Linked DNA regions of Arabidopsis thaliana. The protein of the gene in region 1 interacts with the protein of each later gene in a pairwise test. Each region holds a gene or a part of one and is shown on either strand. Other genes may lie near its edges.

Evidence for each region. Proteins that work in one complex are often made in the same cells at the same time.
Region 2: the proteins of AT1G13520 (region 1) and CSY3 interact in a two-hybrid assay, tested with the Arabidopsis thaliana proteins (one large-scale study listed by BioGRID).
Region 3: the proteins of AT1G13520 (region 1) and PFK1 interact in a two-hybrid assay, tested with the Arabidopsis thaliana proteins (one large-scale study listed by BioGRID).

Annotation. Positions count from the first base shown.
Region 1 is NC_003070.9:4,631,102-4,634,843, forward strand, and holds AT1G13520 (hypothetical protein (DUF1262)), read right to left. Parts: upstream 2,199-3,742; 5' UTR 2,123-2,198; coding exon 1,803-2,122; intron 1,600-1,802; coding exon 756-1,599; 3' UTR 532-755; downstream 1-531. Other genes in the region: AT1G13530 (hypothetical protein (DUF1262)), read right to left, coding at 2,639-3,476, 3,606-3,717.
Region 2 is NC_003071.7:17,802,326-17,808,076, forward strand, and holds CSY3 (citrate synthase 3), read right to left. Parts: upstream 3,749-5,751; 5' UTR 3,667-3,748; coding exon 3,436-3,666; intron 3,347-3,435; coding exon 3,166-3,346; intron 3,064-3,165; coding exon 2,978-3,063; intron 2,771-2,977; coding exon 2,666-2,770; intron 2,550-2,665; coding exon 2,487-2,549; intron 2,367-2,486; coding exon 2,257-2,366; exon of another isoform or gene 2,106-2,256; coding exon 1,986-2,105; intron 1,915-1,985; coding exon 1,839-1,914; intron 1,745-1,838; coding exon 1,671-1,744; intron 1,582-1,670; coding exon 1,461-1,581; intron 1,346-1,460; coding exon 1,248-1,345; intron 1,167-1,247; coding exon 1,043-1,166; intron 948-1,042; coding exon 807-947; 3' UTR 516-806; downstream 1-515. Other genes in the region: AT2G42780 (transcription elongation factor B polypeptide), read left to right, coding at 1-66, 156-321. UniProt on the Arabidopsis thaliana protein: Peroxisomal citrate synthase required for the fatty acid respiration in seedlings, citrate being exported from peroxisomes into mitochondria during respiration of triacylglycerol (TAG).
Region 3 is NC_003075.7:14,402,832-14,408,577, forward strand, and holds PFK1 (phosphofructokinase 1), read right to left. Parts: upstream 3,762-5,746; 5' UTR 3,562-3,761; intron 3,413-3,561; 5' UTR 3,241-3,412; coding exon 3,136-3,240; intron 2,972-3,135; coding exon 2,925-2,971; intron 2,824-2,924; coding exon 2,784-2,823; intron 2,699-2,783; coding exon 2,636-2,698; intron 2,563-2,635; coding exon 2,425-2,562; intron 2,337-2,424; coding exon 2,124-2,336; intron 2,061-2,123; coding exon 1,992-2,060; intron 1,892-1,991; coding exon 1,762-1,891; intron 1,673-1,761; coding exon 1,404-1,672; intron 1,313-1,403; coding exon 1,270-1,312; intron 1,186-1,269; coding exon 1,031-1,185; intron 940-1,030; coding exon 790-939; 3' UTR 516-789; downstream 1-515. Other genes in the region: GGT4 (gamma-glutamyl transpeptidase 4), read left to right, coding at 1-122, 204-488. UniProt on the Arabidopsis thaliana protein: Catalyzes the phosphorylation of D-fructose 6-phosphate to fructose 1,6-bisphosphate by ATP, the first committing step of glycolysis.

The sequences.
Region 1 (3,742 bases):
GAGAGCAAAAGTTACAAAATATAGTTGTGGTAGAGAAGCAACAAGAATCCTACAAGACAAGACTCAAATCACTAGAAAAAATAATCTCACTAGCGGCTCAATCAACATTGTTTTTTAAGACTTTTCCGAGATCTTTGACTTAGCTTTTATGGAAGTCCTTTTTGGCAGTTTTTAAATTCACATCACATTGTTTTTAAATTCTATCACGTAACTTAAGTTTTTATCTACTTTGAGTTCCAAATTATGACCATTAACTTCATAATTGTTCATTTGAGCAATCTGCAGAACAGAGGTTTTGTATTGAAACAGAGCCCCCAAAAAACAGAACTTGAAGCAGAATTTAAGAGACATCATAAAATTAAATAAATTATGGAGATATGAGAATCAAATTGGAAAAGCTCTCAATCTCACTTTCTCTTCAACTTATAAACATGTCTAAACTCGTATGTGAAGACTTTTAAATTGGTAGTAGAATCAAAACACGTTATCAGCAACTTTCAAAGAACTTGATTTATATTAAAAAAATGGAGGGCCATAGTTGTTGGAATGAGGGTTACAAGTTTACAATATTAAAAAAAAAACATTTAAGAAGAATGATCAAATAAATGATTCATAATTGAAATTTACGTGAATTTAAATGCGAACTTTTTTTTTTTTTTAATTACTACATGAAATTGCATAAAACTTATTCATTAAATTAATTATTGAACCAAAAGATGACACACAAAGAAACTGAACAAAGATGAATAAAAAACTCAATCCCACTTGCTCTTTAACTTATCAACATGCGTAAACTCATATGTCAACACCAAACTCCCATCCATTCTCTTCAATTCGAAGCTCTCTATCAATACCAAACATCGATAACTCTTCCAATGCGATGACCCGCCTTCAAATCTCTCTGATCTCTTAATGTTAGATCTTTCACCGTTGTTTAACCATCCGAACCTTTCCTCTTCCCATTTCATCCTCTCCACGACAACAGACCCAAGACCTATCTTCTTGTCTTGTCTCTCATCCCCTAAAACACTAAACCAAACAAATCCACCACCACTTGTCTCTCTAGAAATAGTTTCTTGTCCCTCAAGCTTTACCACTTGTGTTTCTACGTCAACATCAACTACAACCTCTCCTCCTTTTTGGTTGTAGTTAACGTTTACGCATGAGTAAACCTCTTCCCATCTTTGTTTAAGCGTCATGCTGTAATAAGGTGAGCTCTTAATCTGATCTTTTGCATCTCTTTCTTTCACAAATATGAAAGGAACATACCATTTCCCTACCACAACACTTGTATTCATATCGTTGGGAAGCTTGGAACGAAGCGTAGTGTTGATCCCTTTTGCATCATCTGTCAAACCAAAGTCTTGGGAATTCGAATACTCAACGGTCCAGTACTTTCTCTTAAGGAACTCTGGTGGTATCCCATTAGGAGCAACTGAAGTGGCAGTGTAATAGCCTGATGATGGTTTACGTTGATGGACCTCGAACTGTTGATATATATCATAAGGATCTGCTTCTTGTGGCTTAACTTCAGGAACATAGCTGAAGCAAAAGCAGCAGGGGACTCTGTCTTCTTCCTTTGCACTCGCCGAAGCTCCTCTGCAATCCAAAATTAGTTTTTTTTTAATGAATACCATTTGTGCAAGTCAGGTCAAAAGGGGTGGCCAATCCGGTCAAACCGAAACCATCCCAAGAAAACCAAACCCAAAAGCAAGTATCTCGAACCATGCATGACATAAATTGATTAAAACCTCAAAAAAACAAAACAAAGTCAAGAAAGTAATTAAGATTTTTGGCCATACCCTGATTGCTTCCCACGTCGTTTAATGACATAATAACGGTTCGAATAATAAGGCTGATCAAGAACCGGAATGAACAGAACCTGGTCATGGTAACTGCGCCTGTCATTACCAGTTCCGGTTCTGTAAGTCACAGTCAGCTTTGCGTTCTGTGGGAACGGTAAGCCTTTGAGTTCACCATCGTAGCAATTTCCAAAGCAACAAGTCGGTTTTGACTCTTCGTCTTGAATCACAAGTACGCCGGAGTTTGGACCTTCCGGCAACGATCGTGTCAAGTCCGACGAGTTTCTCTGGTATTCGGAGAGATGCCTTGTAACATACATCTTGAATTCAGAATCTTGATCAGGTTATTGATTAGAAGAGATATGATATGTTTATATATTGCACCATGTATTGAGGATAACGCGGTAAGCAAATTTTACAAGTTATCGTTTGAAGACTTTTCAAATTTTTTTACTTTATGGTTCAATTCAAACTTTAGAATTCCAAAGTTATGACCTTGACCTGGTTTCACAAACCTATCATGGAGAATCAATCAAACAAATTCTATATTTTCTTTATATTATGATTGACCTAACTATAAGGATCTGCTTCTTGTGACTTAGCTTCAGGAAGAAACTGAAGCAAAAGAAACAGGGGACTCTGTCTTACTCTTTGGCACTAGCTAATGCTTTTCTACAAAATAATTACAAAACTTTTGAGGTTTTTTTCCTTTTAGAGTATACACCCTTTTTGTGCAAGTTAGCTTCACCACATAACACATGAACTTGCATTAACCTTTCAATAAAATGAACACACCATAAATTGAACACATAACACACAAAGAAGCTGAAATAAAGTCAATCCCACTTACTCTTCAACTTATCAACATGTCTAAACTCATACGTCAATACCAAACTCCCATCAGTTTTCTTCAGTTCAAAGGTCTCTACCAGTACATAGCATCTATAACTCTTCCATTGTGGTCCACCGCCTTCAAATTTCTCAGTTCTCTTAATGCTAGACTTTAGTTCATTGCCTTTCTTCGACCACCCAAACCTCTCTTCTTCCCATTTCATCCTCTCCAAGACCACAGACCCAATACCTATCTTCTGAGTCTCTGAGACACCAAACCAGACAACTCCATCTGAATTCACACCTTTTGTCTCTCTTCCAATATTTTCTCCTTCAAGCTTAACCACTTCTGTTTCTACCTCCACATCAACTATAACCTCGCAATTTTTATTGTCAACGTTTTCGCAGAAGAAAACCTCTTCAAATCTTTGGTGAAGTGTCATACTATAATACATCGATTTCTTCATCTGATCTTTAGCATCTCCTTCCTTTACAAACAAAAACGGAACATACCATTTTCCAACTACTACACTCTTACCGAAATCGGGAAGCTCATAGCGCAGCTTTGCATCAACTACACCCTTTGCATCATCAATCAAACCATAGTCTTGGGAAGCAGAGAAAGGAACGGTCCAGCCTTTTCTCCTCAGGAACCGAGGTGGTATTCCATCTGAAGCAACAGATGTAGCGAAAAACTTGCGAGTTGATGAGCCTCTTTGATGTATCTCAAATTGTTGGTATATGTCAAAAGGATCAAGAAGCCTTGGCGTAGCATTAGAGACATAAGTAAAACAAAGGCAACAAGAAACTTTGTCCTCTTCTTTTGCACTAACACATGCTTCTCTGCAATACCAATCAAAGTTTTAAAAGATGTGAATTTAGGCCGCTAAACTATTAATCTTGGCTTAATTAAAACTAAAACGATAAACTTTGATATCTACATAACATGAGAAAGATTCAATAGAATCATACCCTGCATGTTTCCCTCTTCGCCTTATAACGTAGTAAAGATTGGAAGAAGGAGGCTGGTGAAGAACGGGGATGAACGCGACCGAGTCAAGCAAGACAATTCTGTCATCTCCATCTATGGTGAAATCAAAGCTTAGATA
Region 2 (5,751 bases), on another chromosome or scaffold:
AAGCATTCCTTATGGTGGACGAAATCTTACTGAAACTAAAAAGAACACGATTCAGAAGAGTTTCAGGTAACATGTCCTCAGTATCTATATATCTATATGGATCCACTTCTTTATCCCCCAAACTTGATCGGTTTGACGGATCATGTCTTGTATAGTATATCTGCTCCAAAGAGGACTGGCTTATCCGCTAATGCGCCTTCAACTTCAAGAAGCGTTCCTTCTGGTGGACAAAAGCTACCTCCAAGGAGGATCAACGGCCTTCCTGGGACTGCTCCTTCAACTTCAAAAAATGCAGCCACCAGACAAAAACATGTAATGTAACTTATATAGCTTTTTTACAGATCATTTTTTCTTCGAGTGTATCATTTACATGGCTACTTCAAGTTTCAAGAACTCCGAGTTTTGAAACTCTGGCTTGATGATATCCTAGTTTGTAACAATAGATCTTCAAAAGTTTTTACAATGATTTAATAAAGTGCTTTGTTTTCTACTTGTTGCTTTGGCCGAGATATTTCACAACAAACGTCTCTGCAGAAGCATTCGATATAGAAATTAGAGTAATAATCCATAACCATAAATCATTTTATACAATAAACACGTTCTGATAAGAAGACAAACAAGGCGGACAAACACCCTTAGAAGATGGATTGAAGCAAATATAGATCAAGTCTATATTGTGCCTACAAAATGAGAAATCTAAGTTTCGAGTATGATCAAGTATCTTAGCTTTAGGCTAGAGAAACCAATCTCTTTTATTCTTTGCGGTGTGGTTTGATGTATAGTATGGACCCTAAAAGGGCCTACGTCTAAACTGAAGATCCAGCCAAACGTCTTCTTGATGCATTTGAAGTCGCGACTTGACCCAATTTGTCTGACTCTTTCGAGTCATCCGTCACTATTCTCTCTCTCACTGGTGTGTAATGCCTCAGCCACACGCCTGTGTACACCTGCAACATTTAATATTCCAATGAACCATCCAAGTTTCAAATTGATCCAAAGAAAAATCTTTCTCTTATTATTCTTGGAAAGAGATTAACTATACCTGTTGTGGTCTCATGATCTTGGTGTCAGGATCATCCAGTGACTCTTTCCAATGTGACAAGTATCCAGCCATGCGAGGAATCGCGAATAAGACCGTGAAGAACTCCGGTGGAAATCCCATTGCCCTGTTGTAATGGTCCAAGTTTGCAGATTTAGATGAAGTTGAGAGGAAGTTATGGATACTGCACATGCATTCAAACTTTTACCTGTATATTAATCCAGAGTAGAAGTCAACATTTGGATACAGCTTTCTCTTAACAAAGTAATCGTCAGAGAGAGCTGCCTTCTCAAGTGCAACAGCAACCTGCAGACATCAGAATCAAACACATTGGCTTTAAGGAAACATGAAAAATTACACTAAATCGAAAAGGTGGGCATCAAGTTGTAGTATAAGCTTGAACTTCGTGGACATAGCGTACCTCAATTAGAGGATCCTTTCCAACAATGGAAAATACTTCATCAGCCAGGTTCTTGATGACTTTAGCTCGAGGGTCATAGTTTTTGTACACACGGTGTCCAAAACCAGACATCTTCCTCTTCCTAAGATGTCAAAGGGATGAGAATTTTAATGAAAAGACTTGTCACAAACCTCGGAAACGGAAGCATATAGTTTCAAGAATTGATTTTACCTGTTCTTCACACCCTCAATGAACTCTGGAATATTTTCAACAGTCCCAATCTCTGACAACATCTTAAGCACAGCCTAATGGAACCAAAGACATGAATTTCAAAGACCATGGAGCATGAAAATACATCAGAAGATGTAACATATGAAGACATGAGAATAAATAGCATACCTCGTTTGCACCACCATGAAGTGGACCATAAAGCGCTCCCACAGCTCCAGCAACAGCAGTGTAGACATCAACACCGCTACAAGAAGACATTTCCTAATCAATATATCTCCTATCAAGGTCACTAAGATTCCAACCAAAGATAAGTACCTAGAGGCAAGATGCCGAGCAGCAGCGGTGGAGCAGTTCATTTCATGCTCTGCATGCAGTATGAAGAGGATGTCCAACACCCGAGCCAGCCGAGGATTAGGTTTGTAGGATCTATTTCCCCTGTAAGAAGTGTGTTAATGGCACGCTACAAGTTATGTACACAGTAAAAAAATAACTAGGCTTCAAGTTCTCTGAAGCGTCAAGATCTAAAACTAAATCTAAAAGTTGAGTTTCTAACTAATTCAAGAAGAAAGAGATAGCAGAGACATACAGGGAATCAAGCATATAGAGGAAATTATCTGCATAAGGAAGGTTTCCTGAAGGAAGAACAGGAGGCCTTCCTGCCATCCTCAGATAAGCAGCTGCTGCAATTGTTGGTGCCTGCACAAATCGCAAACACGTTTAGTTGCATCAGATCTTCATGAAATTCAGAGTCCAAATATGTTTATGCGTGACACAATATAGGAAGAAGTAAGGTAACCACTGATAACAAAAAAATACCTTTCCAATAATGCGGATAATTTGTTTATCTCTAACTTGTTTTGAATCGTAAATATCCTGGCCCTGCACCCAATAGAGTATCAGTCAACATGTTTATACGGACAATTTCAAAAGAGCTAAAACTAGCGAGTGACAAGGCCTGACATGTTGTTAGAGAAGTAATATAAGGTTAAACCTACCCTAAGAGCAGGATTAGCATCAGGATGAAAGATGGAAAGCGCACTCATTGCACTCACAAGAACTCCCATTGGGTGTGCATCATGAGGCATAGACTGTATAATATCCTGCACAAAAGTTATCAAGTAAGTGGAGTTAGATATGAGAAATATATAGCTTTGAGTACAGCACACAATCCTCAGAACAACATGTATAGAACAGTCTTGACAAATTATTGTTCGACCAGACAAGAAAATAGGCTACTAGTAAAGAACAGGCTAACTCCATTTTACAAATCGAAATTGAAATCCATCAACCAAGGATTAGAGACTCACTAATACACCTTGTGGCACAGCTGAATGCTGAGAAACTGCAAACTCCCAATCAGATAGCTGACTTTCAGAGGGCAGATTCCCATACACTGCCAGAAAATATAGTAAAGGAGAAAACTTTTCATCAATGTCCAATTCGATACACATAACACTTGAAATTGTGTAGTAAGGTTAAAAGGTAAAACACTTACTGAGAAGATAAGCCACCTCCAGAAAAGTACTGTTCTCAGCCATTTCCTCAATTGGGTAGCCACGGTAACGAAGGATCCCTTCATCTCCATCGATGTAAGAAATCGAAGATCGAACAGGAGCCGTGTTCAAGTAACCTGGATCGTATAACTTAAGCCCCTTGTCTTCCTTCCCCGTCACTATCTGCAAGCCAAACAACACGCAACAAAGCAAATTCTCAGCTCAAAATCCCACAGTGATAGGAAAATGGTCATTTAGAAAAAGGGTTAAACCTTTTTGAAATCAACGGCTTTAACGGTACCATCATCTGAGACCGGAACTTTATAATTTTTTCCGGTGCGTTCGTCGACGATCGTCAGTGTTCCCTTCAAAGATCCAAGCGGTGCGACACTCGTATCCGCCGACGTGCACCATCGCTCGATCGCTGGAGAATCCTGTTTTCCTTCCGATAAATGACCTGAGAGAACAGCTAATCGAGCTCGAACTCTCTCTGATATCTCCATTCAACCAAAATCAAAATTCAAAGAAGGAGAGAAGAAGAAGAAAGGGAGCGAAGAAATTATTAGAAACCATTCTTACTCTTCGTTAATATAACACGTGTCTTATCCCCTGCGGTCAGGAGTATTGAACAGTATCCACGTGTATGCGATCTAACGGATATCTTGATATCCAACGGCGTAAGCCTTATTGACCCAACTTGGACTAACGGTGATGATCTTCTCCATCTCTAAGCTGTCAGAATTATGTGGGACCCACTTATCAGTATTATCTAGTTAGTCAATTGCTTTCCTCGATTTGCTAAATATCAATTCGATTGCTACGCAATGCTGAATGGGCCGAATTGTCTTAATATGGGCTTCTGTATATTCATCTTTAGGCCCAACAGTATACCACTTTTTATTTGGGCCTTTTTTGTTGATACGGCTCGCTTTACCATCGGAACCAACCCAACATTCATTTTTCGAACTATGACTGAAATCTTATTAAAAAAATGAATGTAAAGCTAAATATGGATGTTGCGTTCAAAATAAAACTCATGAGTTTATGGATGTTCTTCATAAATTATAGTTATCATTAATCAAAAGATGGAAAATACAAACGGTTATTTACTCTTTAATGTTAGTGTACGAGGCTATTAATCTTATAAGTTGTATTTATGTATTATATTATGGAGAATGAATAGGTCTAATTACGTTTTAAAAAAAAAGCATGGAGGAAATGAGAGTGAAAGGTATAATAAATGACATGTTAAAAGCGACGGGTCGTATATTTTGATTCGTACCTAAAAATAGAATTCTAAGTTTACCCCACGTGAGGCTCTGAATCTGAGAGTGATAGATTTTTCTTTCCCTCCTTCCGTTTTCAACACATGATGACATGAACAAGGAACTGTTCCTTTTTTTTTTCTTTAAACATTATCTGCAACGGTGATCACTCACTCAATGATATCTTTCATTTATAACTTCACACGTCTATAAATTAAATTTGTTCATAGGATCTACAATAACACAATTAACATCACTTGTGTTTTTAAGTTATTCAAGCAGAGGCATAGTAATTGATAAAAATAGACAACAAGAAAGCATTTGAAACAAAATTACTGTTGTAAACAAAGCTTTTTCACGGTAATGGAATTCCGAAATAAAAATATATAAAAAAGAAAGTGACAGAGGAAATGTGTGAGAGAGGCAAAGGAAATGCAATATTTGCAGGAAGAAAAAAAGCATGAGAAAAAAGTAGGTGTGGATTTAGACACATGACTGACAAATTATATTTTTCTAGTTTCTCCTCTATATGGTGGTTTCTGCGTTTATCATGTTTAAATATATTTAAACCTTTCATTAGTCACATCACATCCCAAAAATGTGTACGATAATAAAAAGATTGTTTATATACCAAAATTAATTGGTTTACTCAATCATCTTTTTAATTTTGGTCATTTGATACGATCAATCATAGGGTGTCCTAACGTTAAGTTCGATGACGCTGCTACCTCTTTTGAGCGTACCATTCAGGGTCCTACTCGGCTACTCCTACATAATGAATTTAGCAAATAGCAGTTTAAAAACAAATTACGTTAGTTGATTAAGATAAATAAATTAGCTTAACACAAATTTGAAATGGTTAGTTGAAACTCAATTAACATTAATTTTTCTAGGTCTTCAATTTAGTTGCATGGTTAGACTTGAATCAGGTTGTGTCGTTTTATCAGACTCACTGCAAACTCTTTGTCCAAACTGCTCCCTTATTTTTGTTTATTACACTCTATGTATGTAAATTTTATAACAGATTTACTAGAAATTTAATTCTTACCCAATAGAAAACAAAAACGTCGTTTCATTTCATTTGTTATTTTCTCTTTTGTATACAAACACATATTTATACACACGGCTATGAAGTTGTTCAGGACCATTATGGATGACTCGAAATAATTTTATTAACAATCATATAAAAATCTGAAAATACTAGTATTATTATTAAACTAAAAAAAAAACACAACATTAACGTACATTGCTTTAATAGGAAACTAATACACATCAAAATCGACTCTATTAATTTATTTCCCTAGAAATCATCGGTCTACTTTG
Region 3 (5,746 bases), on another chromosome or scaffold:
CAGCGCTTGGAGGAGCTGGTGGAATGCATATAATTCCAGCGGTGCTTCAAGTGTTTCTTAATTGCTTTGTGTTGAATATGAAACCTAAAGAAGCAGTAGAGAGTGCCAGAATATACCATAGAGTATGCATAGTTCAAAACCATCTGATTGTTGTTACTAACATTCAAAATGAAATACTCAATGTATTTTGGTTGTTGTTGCAGTTGATACCAAATGTTGTTTCCTATGAGAACTTCACCACGATCAATGGCGATCACATAGGGGTTTCAGAAGATACCAAGATGTTTCTAGCAGAGAGAGGACATGAGCTAAAGGAGCTATCAGGTGGAGCTATAGTTCAACTTATTGTTCAGAGTTTCAAGGAAGAGAAAGAAGAAGAAATGATTATTGAAATTGGAAGGAAAATCGGAAAGAAATCGAAACCATTAAAGGGCTTACTTACTGCAGTTAGTGATCCTCGAAAAGATGGAAAGCCAGCTGCAGTTTGATTTCGTTATTAAGCTAATTACAAATTTCCTCATTCAAGTCCCATTCTCTATCATGTAAATTTGAATAAAGTTACATGAGCCTCAAAGACTCAGCGTGGGATATATACAGAAGCAAAGTTGTAGTTGGAACCAAGAGTTGTTACATTATTCTCACAAGAGTTATCTCTCTCTCTTCTCTTTGCTTGAAGAATATTATAAAACAATTTTTGAAAAGCTTTCTATTAAATTAAGAAACCTTACTTCCCAAACAAAGATGTCCTCAAGTCAAAACACAAACGAATGTTTTTGTAGACAGTGTTGATCACCATTTCATGGTCCCTGGTTCACCAACCAACTGGTTTGAGTGGATCTTGTCAGCTTGCTTCATGAAACTCGGTTGGTTCGTCGAAGACAAAAGCCTCGCCCACATTCTGTCAGTGATCACCACCTTGTTCTGTTTCTCCGTGATCCTCTACACAATATTCAAACCATGTTATTAGGATTCCCAAATTGATATAAATGTAAGAGATGCTCAGGTATGAGTATTTGGTCCTGAGACTCACATTGAAGGGAATGTAAGTATGTCTTCCATTGACAAGGCCAACAGTGAAACCATTGTAACCAGCCATCACTCCATGAACCGCGCTTTGAGCTAAAAGCGTGCAGCATACATTGTCTGATGCATTGCTCGGAACAGCTCGTATCATGTAGGTTGGATCTGAAAGACACCAAAAAAGAAGAAGAAACTTTATCTATTATGTTCCACATACACAAAAGAAAAACTCATAAGATATCTATATACCTATATATTTGAGGGTAAGGGTCATCTTCTTGGCAAAATGATCCTATATAAGAAGAGACAAAGGAAAGCAAATCATTTTCTCAGTTTTTGTCTCACGAAAATCCTCTGTTTTTAGGAATGTCAATAATGTTAACCTTGATTCTTTGGGAGATCCATAGGCCAATGTCTTGAAGAAGTTTGTTTCCAGAGGCATCTTTGAGAGTTGTGGACTCTTTCATGCTTTCAGACAACAGATCTTGTCCCGCACCTTCTGCAATTACAATCACCATATGACCACTCTCCTTTAACCGTTTATCGATAAATTCAAAAAGCCCGCCCGAGCCTTCAAGAAAAAATGGAGATTCCGGGATCAAGCAACAGTCCACATCTCGGCTGGCTAGAGTGGCATGCATTGCAATGAATCCTGCACAAACCCTTAAGAATCCGTAAACATCTCTTCGGTGCTCAGCTAAACTTGGGTGAAAACTACCTAAGTCTAGGGAAACTTCTTACCGCTGTACCGTCCCATTAACTTCACAAGACCAATACCATTCTCAAAGCTTGTAGCTTCGACATGTGCTGCATTGATAGCACGTTGAGCCTCTTCTACAGCTGTGTCAAACCCGAAAGATCTATCGATAATCTGTACCGAGAAAGAACAAACAGTCATTATCCCAAACAACCATAAGAATCTACGATACAATATCGAAATCTCAAACCATTAGGGGGGAAAAAAGAATTACAGGAATGTCATTGTCAATTGTTTTCGGGATTCCGGCAACCGCAACTTTAAGCTTGCGTTTCCTAATCTCCTGCAGAGACAGTCATTAAAGAAATAACCAACGCAATTATTGATCAGAAGTAGTTATGCCTACCTCGAATATAGCAGCTGCTCCTTTCTGTGATCCATCTCCACCGATTATATAAACCTGGTTAATCCCGCGATCTTGAATACTATCTACTATCTTGGTGGTGTTGTGACCGCCTCTTGAAGTCCCGAGGATAGTTCCTCCGCTTCTATGGATATCATTCACTGTTTTTAAGTCCAAATGGATTGTGTTTCTCGCGTAAAATCCTCTGTAACCTCCCTGCAACCAAATTTGATCACAAGATTAATATATTGAGCTAAAAAATTGAGAGCAATGCTGAAAGAATAACTAAACCAATGAGACTTACATCAATGCCAAGGATTCTCTTGACACCATACATATAAGATAATCCACAAACTATCTCTCTGATCACAGTATTAAGCCCGGGACATAGACCGCCACATGTAACAATGCAAGCAAGAACATCATCCGACTCAAAGTAAACCTGCGTAAACAAAACAGTCCCATCAACACTCACCTTCTCAAGCATAGACTCTTTGAAAAGAGACAGAATCTACCCTTTGACGTGGTCCTGCACGACGGAAATGCGTTCCCCTAGGACTATCAGGATGAACTACTATCTACAAAAAGGCGAAACCAGAATCTTCATCAACGAGAGACGAATAAACAAACGCTAATGGCTAAAGGAGAGAGTGTTGTACTTACTTTTTGAGGAACCGTGTCATCCTCATCGACAAAATACTGCCTGAAAACACATTGAATTTGAATCAATGAAGAAGCTGATGATTCAATCACAAGGAAAGAAAGTTAAGTTCCCTGAGGTAAATCAAACAAACAGTAACTTACTTAACAACAGAGTAAGCTGCATTGTCTTGTAATGGATTTGGATATGTCTGAAACATTCGCATGACACAAACAATAGATTTCATCAGAGAAACGTTAAATGATATTTTAAAAAGGTAACTTTAAACCACAATCATATTAAGTTTCAGTCTTTTTCCCGCTCGCATTTTCAGTCACATTATAGATTGAAATTTAAAAAGTCAGAGAGACGTACAGGATGATCAGGAAAGTCGTCGGAGAAATGAGGAACGTCTTCAAGAATATAACCGGCGGGACCAGTAACAATCTTCCGGTCCGAGTTTGGAACAGAAGATGACATAACCAACCTTTTCGGAGACTCAAAGCTCTGATTGTCCGAAACAATCAAACGGAGACCAGAATCGAAGCTCAATGATCGATATTTTCTACTGATTCTAGGGATTAAAAACCCCAATTGATGATGATGATGATCGGTTTCAGATTGTGTACTCCGACGTGAAGATGATCGGAATCTAAACAAATCCATACAATGAAAGATTACAGAAAATGTCATCACCCATTTTTTTTTTATATGAAACCCAAAAAATGGAACAGTCTTCTTTGACTTCAATTTTTTTTTTTATATTGTTAACAAAAATGGAAACTTTAGAAAATAATTCACCTTTGAAGAAATTTGAAACCAAGATGGAAACAAGAAGTAAGGAGGAGGAGGAAGCAGATCAGGCCATCACGGGCTGGTGGTGAATGTATGGATGAAGAAGATAATGAACAAGTGGCGATATGTTTGTGGTTTTTGCTTTTAATGATGAGAAGATACGAGACATTTCAGAAGAGAAGGTTTTAATTACTTTGGTGCAAAATTGACCATTTCAATAATTGAAGAGTTATATTTAAAATTCGTTGAAAGATTTGGGCTGTGTGTAATAATTATTAATAAAGGACTGATTTTTGATGTTTTTTTTTTATTTTAAAAAGAGAATGATTTTGATATTAATTTTTTTGGAGTGGGTGTTTTGGTTATTGGAGTAGGTTTCTAGTTATAGAAATTTTAGGATACGGCATGAACTATGCTCTAGCCTACACCGGCATGTTTCTCATTTGACATAAATTGTAAGTCAAAACATATTTCCCTAATTGGGCTTGATTTCCCTAATTACATTTATTTTCATATTGCGTAAGACTAGGCTTAAGGGAAATTGACACAAAAATGTGTAAGGGAAAGAACTAAGTATGTCCGGCCCACATGACAGAACATCTAATTTAAAATGGGTAAAGCTCATAAGCCCACTAATATTCTGATTTCTGAACCAATTGACCAACCACAATTTGCCCATGTTCTAAGATTTCTTTCATGTGTTTACCAATGCAAGAGACTTTACCGTTAGAATACAAATCTATTCGATCAAAGTTGTGTTTTCTGTAAGAATATCTTCCATCATGCAAAAGTTTATTACATGTCTATGGTTACAAATTGGTTAATAATATATCTAATATGCATTTGTAACCTTTGACAATCAGCTAAGATAAATAACCTAATTTGTTTTTGTTTCTTATATCTCTCTTCATTTAGCATCCAAAAAATTAAAACTGAATTTGATCTAGTAGAACTTTGTGATAGGAAATGGGATAAAACGGAGCTCAAATTCTATTAAGTTCTAAAGACTTCTAAAACAAGAATTATGGCAAAGATATGATAATACCCAGACAAAGAGGCAATCATAGGCATCTATATGTTTTATTCAAGACATGTCTTTGGCCCCTCCATGATTTCATTCTTTGACTCTATAAATTATTTTGAATTTTCTTCTTTTATTTAAGAAATAATATAATTATGATGGGTATTCTATAAATACACAAGATTATATATATGTATGTATTATATATGAATTTCTTTGCCTCTCTTTTTGGTTTGGTGGCGTTCTAACGTTGGGATTGAGATTGTCATTTTTTTTTGTTAAAGGAATGAGATTGTCTTTTGTATATCCTTAACTTGAGTTGTCCAAAAAAAAAAAAAAAAAAAAGTATATCCTTCACTTGAAACTCTTGACGTTAAAGTTACAATCCTTGAGAAATCGAAATGAATTTTAATTTATAAATCTAGCTAGCTATTTAGATTCTTTTTTGCTGTGGTTATGTTTTCAATCTAAACAAACCATTTATTATCTCAAATTATTTTTAACATTTCGGTCCCGCTTAATTATTATTTTTAGCAATATATTTTTTTTTTTACTGATTTAGTGATTTTCAAATCATAATGAATAGTTTAATTTATGTTACAAGAAAAGCTGAAGTATAATTTTGGCAGTTTATCTTAGATTTCAGAACCATAAGAATATAAAATGTTCAAAGAGAGTTCCAAGACCTAAACACTTCAATCCAATCGAAAGATCTCAAATTCAAGGATGGACCCAGAGTTTGTGGGGGCTACGTTAATCTTATTTCATACTACATCATATAAGAGCCGTATAAGCATATTACACCTGACACTTTCTAGACTAAACCGCTTCTAATCAAAAAATTTAAAATGCAGCGTGACCGGAAATCAAGAAAAGCAAAATACTATTTTTGTTGTTACAATTAGGATTAAGGCTTATGTAAAAATGAATCTATTTTTCTTACACTTCATTCGAGAATTTTAAGTGTACGATACAGTTTTCTTCTATTCTTTTTTTTTCCTTTGGTAGTTTTGACCATCTATTGATTTTTCTTTCTCAAATAAGTTGACGTAAACCACATTACATAGATTATACGATAGAACTCATAATCATTACAGTCAAGATACTCAAGATTGTTATGAATTATTATATGATAGATATGTTTAAAGAACGAACACAAATTCAGTTAAT